2 linked regions of the Struthio camelus genome follow. The protein of the gene in region 1 binds, or shares a complex with, the protein of each later gene. Links are inferred from orthologs where the notes say so. Each region holds a gene or a part of one and is shown in the gene's direction. Other genes may lie near its edges.

Region 1 (7,766 bases):
AGACGAGCAGGATCTAGGATCGAAAGCAAGGAGAAGGAAGCTTAATTATCTCCAAGGACCCAGGCCAGGAGGGATGACAGCTTGCACAGGCTATCGCTAGCCTGAGCAGGCCTGATTTCACCTCCTTCTGCCCAGACACCTCATCTCCATGGCCTTCTCCCTCGGACCCCTCACACAGTTGCCTTCCGAGAAGGGACCCCTCCTTCCCCAGCGAGCAAAGAAAAGGATGTGGAAGCGGGTGGAGAAAACTCACCGGCGCAGGACTTAGACTTCTGGATCTTAAGCAGCAGGATGATAATAGCCAGCAAGTGGGAGACATCTCCCAGGATCCGGAAGACGTTCATTGCTACGTGGGCTCCTCAGAGGCAAAGCAAGCAGGGTGTTGGCACAGGTGGACGGGAGTAGGGCAGCCTCCAGGGCTTCCCCAAAAGGTTGCTACTGAGTAAAACTCGGCAGTGAGTTTTTCCCCTAGCCTTGATCAAGTAGCTGCTCTCTTCCAAGTGAACTTTCTTTTTAATCTGTGTATGGAGTCCTTTCTTCTGGCGGAGGAAAATTCAGACTCCCTCCATTAAAAAATACCCGTTCTCCCTGCACGACTTTCCCTTCCAGGGTGAACTTCCTCCCTTGCTTTAAATTTACCTCAAGGTAGATTTTTTTCTCCACCAGAACCAGTTTGCCCCCGAGGGTTTTCTCTGCCTGCAGTGCCAGCTCTCCCCCCTCCAGGCTGATCTCCCAAAGTTGGGTTTTATCCCCAAGAAGGACCCAGACTAAGTCTGCTCAGCAATCCCAAAGCCAGCACTGGGTGACGTGGCTCCTGGCTGTCCGGGGAGGAGAGAAAGGAGGAGGAGGCAGGAATAACTGCGCTATTTTTCCTTTTTCTTTTTTTTTCCCCCCTTCCTCTTTTTTCCCCTACTTGTCTCAAATTACACACGGAAGTGTCCTTAAAGGGGGAAAGGCAAACGGAAATGATTATCCATCGTCTGGGGCTGGGGTAGGGGTCAGGACTCAGTCCTCTGAGTGTCAGGCTTTCGAGGGACGCCGATGGTCCCTTTGGACACATTAATCCCCGTTTTGCTCCGAGCTGGCCAGGCTTGTGCTCTGCAGCCTGCTTTCTAGGGCTTTGCACAGCCCCGTGTTCACTCTAGCACTTTCTGGGCAGTGATCCTTCAGCCTAACAGAAATTGCTATTAGGAAAAACTACCTGGCATTCCCCCAGAGCTCCCCTCCCCTCCGCTCCGCTCCGTCTCGTAGATCGAAGGAAGGGGGTGGGAAGAGATTCGATTTGAATGTCTTGGGCTTGCGTGATTTTCTCTTGCGACCGTGCCTCCAGCCCTCTTGGGTCTGCCTGGACCCGGCAGAGGGTTGTCGCCTCTCCCTCCCTCGAGTGCCAAAACACTGCAGCCCTCCCCTGCTCTGTGCCGTCATCCCTGCTGCCCCAGGGACCTTCATCTACCTGAATGTTTTAGGGCACTTCCTGGCTTCTTTGCTGGCTTCTTCCTGGGGGCTGGGGGGGGGGGGGGGCGTGCCTATCACCAAATACTGACATATGCTGCTCTGGGCCTTAGCCGCTTCCCTCACTGACCGCTCTTGGGGGCTGGACACTGAGCTAAATAGCTCTCAGTCTGGGCAGTTATGTCTCTTCAGCAAGTGCCCCTGCTGAGGACACACGACGCTGCACACGGCCTTTGGGTGTCCTCGTCCAGAGCGGTGCGCCTGATTCTGGTTGTTCCTCCAAAAGAAATGTGGATTCGTGGTGAAGCAGCTGGAAAAGAGCCTGGGGACGGCCTCAGCCATGGACAGCCAAGCTCCGGAGAGAGGGAGGAGGGAACGTGGCTTGTGTGTTGGCTCATGGACGTGAGCTGGAAACCAAGAGGCTCCAAGAGCCCAGCTCCAGAGGAAAAAAAGTTCTCCCAAAGGCTACTTTTACATAACCTTCACTGAAAATATGGGCTCCTGCAAGTGGATTGAAAAACAAGGAAGGCACATATTGTGTGAAAGAAATACACATGTGCTACCATTTTTATAGATTTAACAACAAGGAAAGGATATTAGCAGTGACATTGTTACAGAGTTTTCATATATTCAGGAACAGTAAAGGGCGACCAATCTATTTGAGATAAATCTTGTTCTTGCGTCAGAGGTGAAGCTGCAAAGAACGAAGGGTCTCACTGTGCCGGCAGGGGGACGAGGACCTCAGCATAGAGATGGGCTCAGCAGTAGGAGAACACTACAGGGCCCTTTTTATTATCTAATTGCTACTATAAAGCTCCTTTAATACAACCATGACAAATGGATGGTTTAATTTGTCACCTTGTCCGCAAGCAAATCGTATCCGGCTGTTAGTCTAATTTTGCTCCTCCGTGGTTACGTGACCCATGCTGCTCTTGTCCGGCAGCCAGTTTCGGCTGCTGACCGCTCTGTCCCCAGGCTTCCCCTGCAGCAGTTTCCTTCGGTTCTTCTTCCTTTAGCAGGTCCTCATGGGCTCAGTCTGGAGTAAAATCCTTAATGATTAAAGTGTAAAAATATTATTCCTGGTGCTTACTAAGAGGACTAACAAGTCTATTAACGTTAACCAGATTCCTTTCTGAATACATTTGCATACATTTCCTCCTTGCCCATTAGGCTGGCTGCCGTGTTTTCCCTTTTTGCCTCTACAACACCTGGCGTACTGGGCTTTTCCAGCCCGAGTTTCCAGGTTTGGCTAGAAAACACTTGCTTAGCCCAGCGAAACACAGAGAGGGGCCCCTGCCTGCAGCCTGCAAGTACGTCCGGGCCCAAAATAGCAGAGCAGGAGAAGAGTTGTTTAGACTAAAGGACAACATTGCAAAGAAACAACCGGGTATGAAGTGGCAGTGACCTAGGCTGAAATCAGGTTTCCAGCCACAGGAGCAGAGTAATTCTGGATTTCAGCAGGAATTTGCCAGGTAAAGGCTCTCGCTGCCTTCGGAGGGAGCTGGCCAGGAAAAGCACTGCGTGGCGCAGGTGGGGCCTTAGCACAGTGGCAATCGGCTGCGGTGGCTCCGGCGGAGAGCTGCCTTAGGCCGGCAGCGTAGCCATAACGGTCTCTATGCTGAGGACAGCAGATGGTGGCTGTGAATAAGCTGGTGGTGGGTACGGGCAATGGGGCAGGAATCGCTCCGCGGGCCTTGCTCCATTTCCTTGGGGTGCCCTTTCTAGCCTCATCCTGAGCCCCTTCTTGCTGGGTTTCCCTCAACAAACTCTTCTCGCTGGTTTTAGGAGCCCTTTTGTTGCCCTGGTGCTCTTCACATCTTCACCCACAGGGTGAAGCTTGCCTGTAGTCAGCAGTGACGAGGTAAGACTCTTGCCAGTGGCGAAGGTTTATTCTCTTTACCTTGTGCCTTCACAGGACTCAAGCAGAGCAGCTGAGTCCCAAGCCCTGGGTTTATTTTCTACTGTGGTCGCGGCTACTGCCAGGTGAGGTGATGGTCAGAGGGTTTTCGTGCGAGCAGCCCGGCTGAGCGTCCCTGAGAGCTCGCTAGAGCCAGAGCAAGCGAAGGGAAAACACAGAGGAGGGGAAGACAGCGCCCCCAGCCCCGGCTGGGAGGTGGTGGTGGAGTCGGGGTCTCCCTGCAGGATGTCCCCATGCACCATGCAAACCCCTGCCACCCTGCAGGCCACAGAGCGGGGGGCCTGCAAAGGCCGCCGGGAGGATGAGAGGCATCGGGCTACCGAGTGCTTTAAAGAAGAAAAACTGGTACACGAAGAGGGAACAAGTAAAAATAAACCTTCCCTCCTCCCCACCTCCTTCCCTGCCACAACATAAAGCGCCTCGCACCGGGTGTCTCCCTGCCTCCCGAAATAATGCCGGGCGCTGCCACTGCCGTGCTCGGTGATGCTCTCTCCATGCCTCCCGTTTCCATGGCGACTGCAAGGAATGTCGCCAGGGTGACAGGGAGGAGAGGGAGCTGGGATTTGGCATTAAAAACTGGAATTTGGATTCTTCTTCTTTTTTTTTTTTTAAATTCTATTTTCGTTTTTCCCCCTCTCCATTTGCAGGTTTGGGGGACTCACGCTCCCGGAGAGCCCCTGGGCGAGGGAGCAGCAACTTCTTCGAGGGCCGAACTTTCCCTCTCAGGCCCTGCCCTGATCCCAGCTGTTTTGCCAGGAGAAGGAGGGGAAAAGGGGAGGTTTCCTTCTTGCTAAAGCATATGTCTTCTGCCACCAGCAAGGCTTTTGCCCCGGGCAGCTGCTTGGCCGGGAGTCCCCCTCCATTCCCACTCGGGGCCGTAGCTCGAGGCACCTCCAGGCCACGTGGGGACCATGGGCAGCCCCCGGGGGACAGAGGGGTCGGGAGCTCGTGCGCCTTGCCGGCAGCTCCTGCGTCGTCCCCCCGCCCCAGCCCCAATCCCTCCGCCTCCCCCATCCCCACAGCAGCATCGGGAAAGGTTGGCGGAGTGGGGCTATTTTTGGGAGCGTCTCCCTGGCAACGGCTGCCACCACCGTCTGTGGTGGCTTTTCCATAGGTGCTAAAATATTCCACGCTGCTTATTAAAGCCGGTGCCGGTGGAGACGGGCGGGGGTGGGGAGTGTGAGCCACCCCACTGCCGGGGCCGGCGGGCCCCGTGGCGGCCGGGGCCACGGCCGGCCTGGGGAGCGGGGGGGACACGTGCGGGGACGGGGCGGCCAGGGCAGGGCCGCTTCCCGGAGATGACGTCCGCCAGGTCCCGTCCGGCGGCCCCCGCTGCGCTGCGGCTCGTCTGCCGTGCCGGGCCCGGCGGGAAGGGCGCTGGGCGGCGCGGGAGGCGCAGCTAGCGGGCCTCCGGTCGGAAAGACGAAGGGAACCAACAGCTGGCGCCGCCTGTCTCGGTCCCGCTTCGAGTGTCCTTCCCAGCCAGACCGGCTGTGCAGAGGTTTCGGAGTGATGCGGAGCGTCAAGCGACAAGAAGAGAAAGGGATCGACGGTGAAAAACAAAATGAAAGTTAAGCAGCTGCTTGGAGGCCCCGAGCGCCTCGTGGCTTTGCTCATCCCGGAGCCGGGGCAGGAGGCTCTCGGTGGCACCGGCGGGAGAGGCAGCCATTTGCCCCAGGTCGCACGAGGGGGCTTTGGCATAGCCCGGGAAGGGGCCGGGGCACCCGCGCTTGCTCTCCACGTCGGCGTCAGCATGAGGCAAGAGTGAGCAGCGCTCTCGCTGATAAAGTCACCGGGAAGGAAACCGGACCCCCGGTGCACGACACAAGTCTCATGACTTGTTCCTCGCGTGCCCTCCCGCCCGAGGCGTCCCAGGGGGCTTCCCACGCTGCCCTGAAATTTCCCTCCTGCCCTAGGGATTGACCCCGAAGGGCCCGTGGGGGAGCGCTGCCCCCGCTGAAGGCCCGGCACCGCTTCCTGCAGCCCCTGTGCTTGCCGGGACCTCTCCTGCTCGGGCGCTTTGCGAGCGGCGCTTTGCGGAGCAGCTGCAGGTGGGCTGGGGCGAGCTGGCTGCTGGCAGGATGCTGGCTGCTCTCCCCATTTGCAGCTGCTAATCTGTGCTGAGAGATGCTAAAAATACACTGTTCTCCTGATGTTACTCTCCCAGGTAAGTGCAGGCTGCGCTCGCTGCGGCGATGCTCGGCGAGGCGCGCGGGCGAGCGGCGTTGGGGGGGCGGTGGTCCCCGCGGCGTGTTGTGCGAGGCTGCATCCCACGCGCTGGGAGGTCGCGGGATGATTTTGGGAGGGGGGAGGGTGTGATCTCTGCAGGACAGTGACCCACGGGACAATCAAAACAGTGGTTTTCGATCTTTTTTGACCCCTCTAGATTTTCAGCGAGCTGAGGTCTCCTGACGACAGCTTGGCTCTCCGCAGGCTGTGGAGACACAGCTGGCTCCCCTGTGGCTCTCCAGGAAGGATCAATGAGAGCTTCGTTTCGAAGGCACCAGAATTTGGCTTGCGCTGGTGTCTTAACGCTGGGGATGGTAGATGAGACACTGAGATGGAAAACACGTCCAGCCGCCACCGCTGGCCTGGTGCAAGGCTGTTCTTAGGAAGGTCGTGCGCGTAGCTGGTGGCTGCAATGTCACAGCCTACTTACAGTCTCCGGCTTCCCTCCAAAATTAAAGGGACAACTTCACTACTTGGCACTGGCGTAAGGAAGCCGCCTGCGTCTCCCTCTCCCACGCTGCCACCCTTTGCCTTGAAGAAGAGACCTCTTCAAAGCCCCTGAGATGTTGCAGGGAGTGAAGCTCCAGGGGGAAATGTCCAGGAAAAAATTTGTGGCGGAGCCATCGTGTGGCATCTCTGGAGGCCCTGAACGAGCTCCACAGTGATGCTACAGCTCCTAGGGCTGATGCTCGGCGAAGAAAGTGGCTTGGATGTATGCAGCAGGCCTTGCGAGCCTATCGCCTCCCAACGCACATGAGTAGATGGCTTGGGGAAGATGGCAGGCTCTATGTCTGGCGCCTCTCTGGGGCTTCGGCATCTCTGCAAGGGTGGCCTTGTAGCAGTTCTCCATTGAGCTGCAACATAAAATACACCGAGGGGGGAGGGCAGGAACTGGGGGCCCCTCTGGCTGGTTGCTCCATCCCACCGTTTCCATCCCAAGCATGATGCTTGTCCCAGGCAGGACAGCCAGCGGCGTTGCCAAGCAGAAAGGCCTGGCCATAGGTGCTGGGAGGTGGGAGCCGCTTGTGCCTCAGGGGCCCAGGAAACCTGCGGTGATGTCCCGAGACCTCCAGCAAATGCTATGCAAGAGCTGGGGACTTAGATGGAGAATTTGGTCCTTTCTCAGAGCGAGGTCTGAGCTCAGCACTCTGGAGCCAGGTGGAAAAAATCCTGGCCATGGCTATTTAAGCCTCTTGTAACAGACCGGCGGCCAGTTCCTGCCTCCCCAGGGGCTTCCTACGGGCTGGCCGCTTCCCCCTGCTTTCGGTTGCACTCTCCTCTCCCCCATTGCAGCTCTGCAGCGTGTATCCATGGCTCTGAGATCACACGCGAGGATGGGCTAAAGTAGCGGAAAGCTGTTGGATCCTACCACAGAGTTACTGACTTCTTAGCTACAGACTGCATAGCAATCAGAGAGGGGGAGAGAGAGCCAGAGGAAGAGAGCGGGAGGAAAAAGAGAGGAAGAGTGGAAGGGAGACCGGTAGAGACGGCACAGAAATTTGTGAAATAGAGAAGGGGGATAGAGCAGGCAAGGATAAATAAAGAAAGGGAAGGAGAGAAACAGGCAGAAGGGAGAGACCAGAACTCATCACCAAGCTGCAGCCACAAATCAGAGCTCCGTGGGATGGAAACTCCTGAGAGCAAAAAATGCTGAAGAGAGGCAGAGGCAGAGGAAGAGGAAGGAGAAGAGCACTGGCATGAACAGGGGAGAGTTAGGAGAAGAGCAAGTCACGGGGAGGAAGTAGCTACTTGAAAGAAAAGAGGCGAGAGAGGGCTGAAGAGAGACCTCCCAGATTCCTTCAGTCCAGGCGAGCTGAGGCATTTCATGGTGAGATGGAGAAATCACCCGCTTTTCCCTTCCTCTGATGTTGGCTCTCCACAGCTCAAGCAGGGAGCAGCTATCGGCAGGACCTGGGTAAGAGATGGTGCTGGTTAGCGCTACTCCCGTTCGTGGCATGATAATGGGAAGGTTTTTCCTCTGAAAATAATGCATTGTTTCATCTGCGCTAGCTCTGAGGAACAGCTATAAATATAACTTAGTGAGATATGCGTGGCTTCATGTGAGTGCCAGTGAATAACAAAGTTGACTGTGTGCATTGCATATGTAAATATAGAAAACGAAGTGCGTGTGTGCGAAGGGGCAGAAACACACCTGTTTGTAACCTCC
Region 2 (7,163 bases), on another chromosome or scaffold:
AGCAGCCCACAGAGCCCAGGGAAATGGGGCTCATTATCCTACAGTGCTCATGCTGACTAGGCACGTTTCAGGGGGCAACGCTGTGTTTGTGTAACCATGAGGGCTAGAAAAACTGCTCCTTCAGGAAAAGCCCTTAAAACAGCTGCAACAAGGTGCTCTGCTCATCGCTCTTAGGAGTGGTGGGACAAGAGGAGAATGAGTATGCCACAACTTTGAATGGAAGATCAGTTTTAGCCCTGTCTGGGTCCCAGCTACCTCATCTGCTGCCCAGGTTTTCCACTCATAATTGGACCAGAGAACCAACATTTTGGAGTACGGAAAAGGTATCAGCAGGCAGAAGAATATTTTGAAGCAGGGCAGGGTCAGATGTTTTTGTAGTTGACAGTGGAGGGAAAGGGGTTTAGCACGCTGAAAAGCAACACAGCACTGACAGTATTGGCATGGAGATGATTTTAGGTTCTCCATTCTTTGTTTCGTGGTTGATTTCATTTGTTGATGTTGGCACAGGATTATCCTTTCTGCATCACTTACAATTTATGGGGGGGGGGGGGGGAAGAGATCTTGACTGAGGTCTTTATGCTTCTGCCATGTTTCATAGCTGCTTGGTCACTTCGCCCTGTATCTCTTCCTTCTGCAGAAGTTGCAAAGCGGAGCTCTATTGGTTAAAACAAACTTTCCTTGGTTCTTCTAAATGTACCAACAGGAAAAAACTTTAGAAGTCATAGCTCCACTATCTAAACGCTTTGAAGAATTACGAGTGCTTTTTCATTTCTCAATTGCACAGTCTCATTGCAGCCCATTTTGTGAATTTAGGCTCATGTGGGGATGTAACTACTCTAAGAGGAGAAAACGCTTACAGAACAACATTGTTTACTTTTAGAGTTTGCATTTCCTGGAGCTGACAGGAATTGACTCACCAGCTCCTGAAGAATGAATATTGAATAGGTGAATACTTCTGTCTTTTTGAAATACTAATCGTTTCACGTAAAGCCTCTGCACCAGAGTGCAAACTGTTTAAATGTTCTGTAAAGGTCGCCATCAATTAGGAGTCATGATAAAGACTCCCAGGTATTTCAGTTCGCTCCTTGGGTATCAAGATTAAAGGACTCCTGTTGCTGCACGGTCTCTATGTATGGATACAAACAGAAAAAAGAGCCACACTCACCTCTGCTTTAACTTCTTTCAAGTGGCTACTCCAAGGAACGGTTTGCTTCTAAATTAAAATTTGCCTTTGTTTAACAGTGGCAAACTCTGAATCCAAGTCACCAAGAGCAAATTGCGCACAATCTGGTCCACCGCTCTCTTCCTGTTTCTGTTCAGATGCAATTACTTATTAACCAGTCAAACATTTAGCTAGAAAATAGAATTAATCATTGCACTTAAAATAATTTAGGATAAGCTGCGTACCTCCGATGCTATAATCACAACCAAAGCATCTTCACTCTGAAAGTCTCTCCTCTAGGCAACCATGAATCAATGTGCATGTAACTGACTGCACTAGTTGGGCCTATGAGAATTACCATACCAATAAAACAGCACAGTGTTTTTTTTTTTTTTTACTGTCAGTTTAATTCTATTTAAATGACTTCTAGATGGTGAAATGCATGGTGAACACATGTCCCATTAGGCCAAGGTGCAATACCTGGAGACCAGATAGCTCATCGTAACGCATAGAGCTGACCTTGTTCTGAAACCAATGCTTCCACTTGACAAAACAACATCCTCTAGTTGGACAACCTAAGCTTTCCTGACTGAAATCTTCAGGGGCTTCAGCCCCTGCCCACGTTCCCTCGAGCATTTCCCTACCTTACACCCTCTGTTTAACAGAATTTCCATAACTATTGTTTTTTTATAAAACATAACAGCCAGATTCCTTATCAGAAGCTTCTTTCCTTCTTGAGTTTGATTTTTTTTTCTTGAATTTTATGTACAGCAATAAAATTTGTCACTTCAGGGCAATGCTGTCCAAGTATCCTCTCTAAGTCACGTTCTTTAGGTAGCTTCTTACCCATGTAAATCCTAGTTTCCTCTGGTGATACATATTTATACTAAACAATTAATTAAGAGTCTAGAAAGTATTTGAATAGTACAAATGTATAAAAGATACCCATTAATGGGTAACAAGTGCCAATTCTTCTCTGATGACAGCATGAATCTGGCAAAGTATGCTAATGAGGGAATTAAAAACTTTACCATCTTTTTCCCCCAAAAGACCACGGGTAACATGACTGAGGCAATGTTTATAGTTTCAAATCTAACTTTTGTATAACCCTGTATTTCACTAGAAGCTGACTTCTCAGTAAAGTATTTTTAAATGCAGTACCTTATGTTGTAAAAATAACTTTGTATACCGTAAACAGGGAATATCTTAAACAAGGTTCTGGTGAAGCAACGACTGATTCAGAGAACCAGATGGAGCAACATGTGCTCGTAGAGGAAAGTGTATGACAAAACACTGACCCTGTGCAAGAGTTTGGAGCCTTTCATTTTAACCTACTGATCAAACACTGTTTGCAGGATCACCTCTACAGCAAAGAGAGATTATGTGTATGATAGGTGCTTAATTTTTCCTTTCAGTTCCCACCAGAAATATATGGAACCACAGTAATATATGGTTCGGTTGGAGAAAATGCTGTCTTACAGGCATGTTCAGCACAGGCTGAGGGAGCAGTTAATCAGATGCTGTATTTTTCATTTGGTTGCCTCTGTTTCATCGGGCACAATGGTATTCAGAACAGAGCAAAGTGCTGGACTTCTGAGAGTATTATGTACTGACTTTTGTTTATGCCAGTGAAGAGTACATGTGAAAATGTCATTTATTTTTAGAGTGTACATATAGCAACTGTGAAAGATAACATTTGCACTCATATACTTCTGTACCAAACCTTTACGTGCACTTAATTACATACTACTGTGAACTGTTTCCCTGTGTCAGTGGATTATTTTTAGGGTCACGTGTTATATGCTACTTCCATCAGTCTTCGTAAGCGGACGCAAGCTGCAAAACCACAAGGGAAGATGACTGGTGTTTCTAATTGTAAAATGCAGGGGATACAAGGACTAAGGCGGGCAAAATCCATGGACGTGACTGCAACGAAGGACAAAAGGCCTCCCTCAACCACCGCACGAGTATTCATAGGAGACGTCCAAGTGATGTTTCACATTGCGTTTAATTAGAACAGTGCTACCGCTTCATTTGTGCTCGGACATAATTTACTGACGTCATTAACAATACAAGCAACGAACAACGGTTTACAAGGTAAGCTGGCCTAGTGGTGTCGACGACTTTTTTGGCAACAGTCCTCCTGCCTCATTGAGAGAAACAAAAAACACTGCGGCTGAGGCGGCTCCTCGCCGCTTCAGTAGACGTGGACCATGCCGTAGAGGAAAGTCCAGAAGAGGACGTAGGTGAAGAGCCCCCCTACGAGCCCCCCGGTGAAGAGCGGCCGCCGGGACTTGAAGTACTTGTTCCATCGCCGCCCGGCCTTCAGCACCAGCAGCACGGAGAGGAGCACGGAGGCCAGGAAGTAGAAGACGAAGCCGTGCAGGCCGGTGAGGCCGAGGATGCCGGCCGTGGCGCCCGACAGGGCCGACACCGAGGTGCGGCAGTAGTCCAGCAGCGCCGCGTTGCCGCGCACCGCCGCCTCGCTGATGAACTGCGGCCCCTCGCGCTTAGCCGCCGCGGCCATGGCCGCCCGCCGGCTCCGGGGATCGCCTCGCTCCCGGCGAGCCTGCGGCAGAGCACACGCGCGCTGGGCGGCGGCGGCGGCGCTCCCGTCCCCCCTCCTCAACCCGCCGCCGCCCCCGGTAACGAGGCCCCGCCGCCATCTCCCCCCCCGGCCCCGGCCCCGGCCCGGCTCGTACCTCTCATCCACGGCGGCGAGCTGCTCCGCGGCACCCGCGGCCGGGCCCAGCCGTCACGCCTCGCACCCTGCCGGGGGACACCGCGCGCGCCGCCCGTCAGTCCCGGCCGCCCTCGCCCTGCCGGCCCCGGCCGCCCCCGCCGCGCCGCGCCGACCTACCGCCGCCGCCGAGCCTCTCGCCACCCCGCCGGAAGCTCCTGTCAGGCATCTTGGCGCGGGGGCCGCCGGGAGAGCGGCCTGGCTTCCGGCGCTGCGCGTCAGCGGCCGGCGAGGCGGCGGCGCCCCATTGGCTGGCGGCGCGGGGCGGCGGCGGCGGAGGGCGAGGCGCTTTGTTCGGGCGGCGGCGGCGGCGGCGGGGCCATGTCGTACGTGCCGGGGCAGCCGGTCACCGCCGTGGTGGTGAGCCAGGGGGCGGCGGCGGGGCTGCTGCGGGGACCCCGCGGGACCGGGAATCGGCTCCTCCTCGGGCCGCCGCGGGCGGGGCCGGGCCGGGGCTGCTCCCGGCTGCCCCCCGGAGCCATGAGCGCCTGTCTGCTGACTTGGGCCCAGGCGCTTCTGCTGCGGAGCCGCTTGGCCCACGGCAGCCTTTGGCAGCGCTGCGTGACAGACCCGCTTGAAAGCCCTGAGCGTCTCTCGTGCGGCTTTTGGTACTCGCGTTAAGGCCTAAGTAGTTGTTGCACCCTGCTGTAACTGGGTAACGCGAGCGTCTCTGAGCGAAGCCTGCTCTCTTTTGCAGTGCAGGGTGTTTTCCGCAAGACCTGGTTTACTCCCTGCGTTGTTTCTGTGGTAATGTGGCGGGAGCGGCTGGCTGGGTGCTTTGTTCAGTGCCCTCTGCTACGTGCAACTGCGTGATACAGACCGGACAAGGACCTGCCTTGTATACTTGAATTTTATGAAGCAGAGCTTTTAAAAATTATGTTAAAGTGCTTAATCAAAAAACAGAACGCAAGCAAGGGTTGCTGTATTGTTTCTTTCGCTAATTAAAATACTAAGTTAACTTAAGTGGCCTTTCAGGTGGTTTGACTGTTGACCTAGCTGGAATATGCTGCACCGCTTTTAGCGGTGGAAGAGCCGACATCCCTGAGGACGCGTCAGCTGTCTTGGTTTAGCAAAGCAGCTCGTCTCCTAGTGAGATCCTGAGCCTTCTGCCCGCAGAGAGCTCAGCTCCTGACTGAGGCAGAGGTTTGAGAAGCGCCTTCTGAGTGGGTGTTGTTTCAGTTAAAGATCCTGGCTCTTTATCTTGACTCAGAAATTCCTGCAAGCTGGCAGTTATACAGTACTTCAGTAATCTGTAGAGTTTGTCAGATGCCTCTGTTCTTCAGTTAGCAAGGAACTTGCTTACCTTCAAATTACAAAAAAGGGTTGAGAACCTAAGAAGAACCATTGTAATAGACTAATATTTCCATTGACAGGGCTACACAGGAACACGAGGCACTTAAACAAAAAGCAAGATGAATCTAGATATGAATGACTGCTGGTTAGCAAACTTTGATTCACGTTCAGGGAGACCTGCTCTCAGTTTTTAATGCCTTGCCCCTTGTTTTCAGTGCAGCGGTAAAGCGCTGGCTAGGTTAGAAGCTTGGCTGTGTAGCGGCATGAGTACCCTCGGGATGAGCTTGCCGATGCTTTTCTGCCACGCCGTTTTGTGGTACGGCTGAGAACAGTTTAGAGCCAATTGGTGCGGCCAGCACCAAGGTTATGTGTCACTGGTAGACAACAAATACTGTGTAATAGCTTTTTCTGCCAAGGCGTTTTAGAGCTTGTTTGCCTGCTTACAATGCATGCAGAATAGATAGGTGGTTCTTGTTCTAACCAAGGCTGTGATACAGCCTTTTCTAGTAAAGTTAACTGAGGTTTATAGCATCTGCGTGAAATAAATATCTAACTGGCTTATATGCATCTGTTTCTGAAACAGACTTAAGATCACTTCCAGTGATCACAATGCTCAGTTATTCTCTTTTCTTTTTAGCAAAGAATTGAAATACATAAGCTTCGTCAAGGTGACAATTTGATTCTAGGATTCAGCATTGGAGGTGGCATCGACCAGGACCCTACTCAGAATCCTTTCTCTGAAGATAAGACTGACAAGGTCAGATGCTCTTTGCTTTCAGTAGCAACTATCTCTGCAAAATGCTGCGCATACTCATGTGCATCTGTATTCTGTCATCTCACATGGCTGACAAGTTATTCCATTGACATGTAATCATCTGCAGACAGGCTCGCGTTGAAGTTAGCTCTTGTGCGACTTTTCTACTTTCCAGCATCGCACAAGCCTGTTTTTAACTAGAATCCTGTAGTAGACTACAAAGTGTTTTTTCATTGTCAGTAAAGTGGCTGTTTGAGTATTCAGTACTTCCATATGTAGTAAATGAACACTTAATTTTTTTTTCCAGGGTATTTATGTAACGAGGGTGACAGAAGGAGGCCCAGCAGAAGTTGCAGGGCTCCAGATCGGAGATAAGATCATGCAGGTAAACACCAACATAAGACAAGTACTAATTCAGTACCCAGCTATGCAGCACCCAGGTGTGCACTGCAGAGAAGTTTATGCTGGGGGAAGTACCGTCTTCTAGGTACTTTCCAGGGCATTTTGTGGGGGTTATGCCACACGTCAGTTAAGTGCTCTTACAGAACTATGTAGTGGAAAAGGTAATTGGACTCTTGTGAGTCCATGCACATGCCTCTGATTTGTTTTGTTTCCGTTGGCTGGATTTTGAGAAGAGCTGCTAGGCTTAGATGGCCTAAGGGAAGCCACCAGAGATGGGGCAGCCTAAGGCCTTGCCCCTATGTGTCAGTCTTACCCTGCTTTGTCAAGACTTGCTCTGCCTGTGACTACTGAAGCATGTTATGTTCTTTTTCTAGGTGAATGGCTGGGATATGACAATGGTAACTCATGACCAAGCCAGGAAGAGGCTGACCAAAAGAAATGAAGAGGTGGTACGGCTCCTGGTGACCAGGCAATCTCTGCAGAAGGCTGTGCAACAATCAATGATGTCCTAATCAATCATGAGGTTGGGGAAGGGTTGGGGAGGGAGAGATATAGACTGGATATCAAGCAAGGAAGCAAATACTAGACCTGAGCAGGCTGTCTGGAAGGAGTGCATGTTCCGACCTGTGGTAAACACTATTTTTCTTTTTCTGGTGTAATTGACAGTAGTAAAACTCTAGTCCTCTAAGCAGAGTGCTTCTCTAAAGTCTTCCCTGCAGGTACATGGTAAGACCCTAGAGTAGTCATGGTTTTCAGGAGGACAGGACAAAGTGGTTATGTAAGGCAGCAACTGGAGGAGCCTTAACTTTGAC

What was found. The genes of interacting proteins can lie anywhere in the genome.
Region 2: the proteins of KCNJ4 (region 1) and TAX1BP3 are in contact, whole or in part, in a crystal structure (PDB 3GJ9), measured with the Homo sapiens proteins. The link is inferred for Struthio camelus from reciprocal best matches to the Homo sapiens genes KCNJ4 and TAX1BP3. Residues at the interface, in NP_004972.1 of Homo sapiens: Arg440, Arg441, Glu442, Ser443, Ala444, Ile445; in NP_055419.1 of Homo sapiens: Leu27, Ile28, Leu29, Gly30, Phe31, Ser32, Ile33, Gly34, Gly35, Asp38, Gln39, Gln43, Asn44, Thr58, Arg59, His90, Asp91, Arg94, Leu97, Thr98.

The regions. Positions count from the first base shown.
Region 1 is NC_090942.1:58,352,486-58,360,251, forward strand, and holds the start of KCNJ4 (inward rectifier potassium channel 4), read left to right. Parts: upstream 1-4,727; 5' UTR 4,728-5,537; intron 5,538-5,756; 5' UTR 5,757-7,464; coding exon 7,465-7,514; intron 7,515-7,766. Other genes in the region: KDELR3 (ER lumen protein-retaining receptor 3), read right to left, coding at 254-344. UniProt on the Homo sapiens protein: Inward rectifier potassium channels are characterized by a greater tendency to allow potassium to flow into the cell rather than out of it.
Region 2 is NC_090957.1:17,790,642-17,797,804, forward strand, and holds the start of TAX1BP3 (tax1-binding protein 3), read left to right. Parts: upstream 1-4,096; 5' UTR 4,097-4,223; coding exon 4,224-4,262; intron 4,263-5,832; coding exon 5,833-5,952; intron 5,953-6,256; coding exon 6,257-6,334; intron 6,335-6,725; coding exon 6,726-6,863; 3' UTR 6,864-7,163. Other genes in the region: EMC6 (ER membrane protein complex subunit 6), read right to left, coding at 3,360-3,689. UniProt on the Homo sapiens protein: May regulate a number of protein-protein interactions by competing for PDZ domain binding sites. Binds CTNNB1 and may thereby act as an inhibitor of the Wnt signaling pathway. Competes with LIN7A for KCNJ4 binding, and thereby promotes KCNJ4 internalization.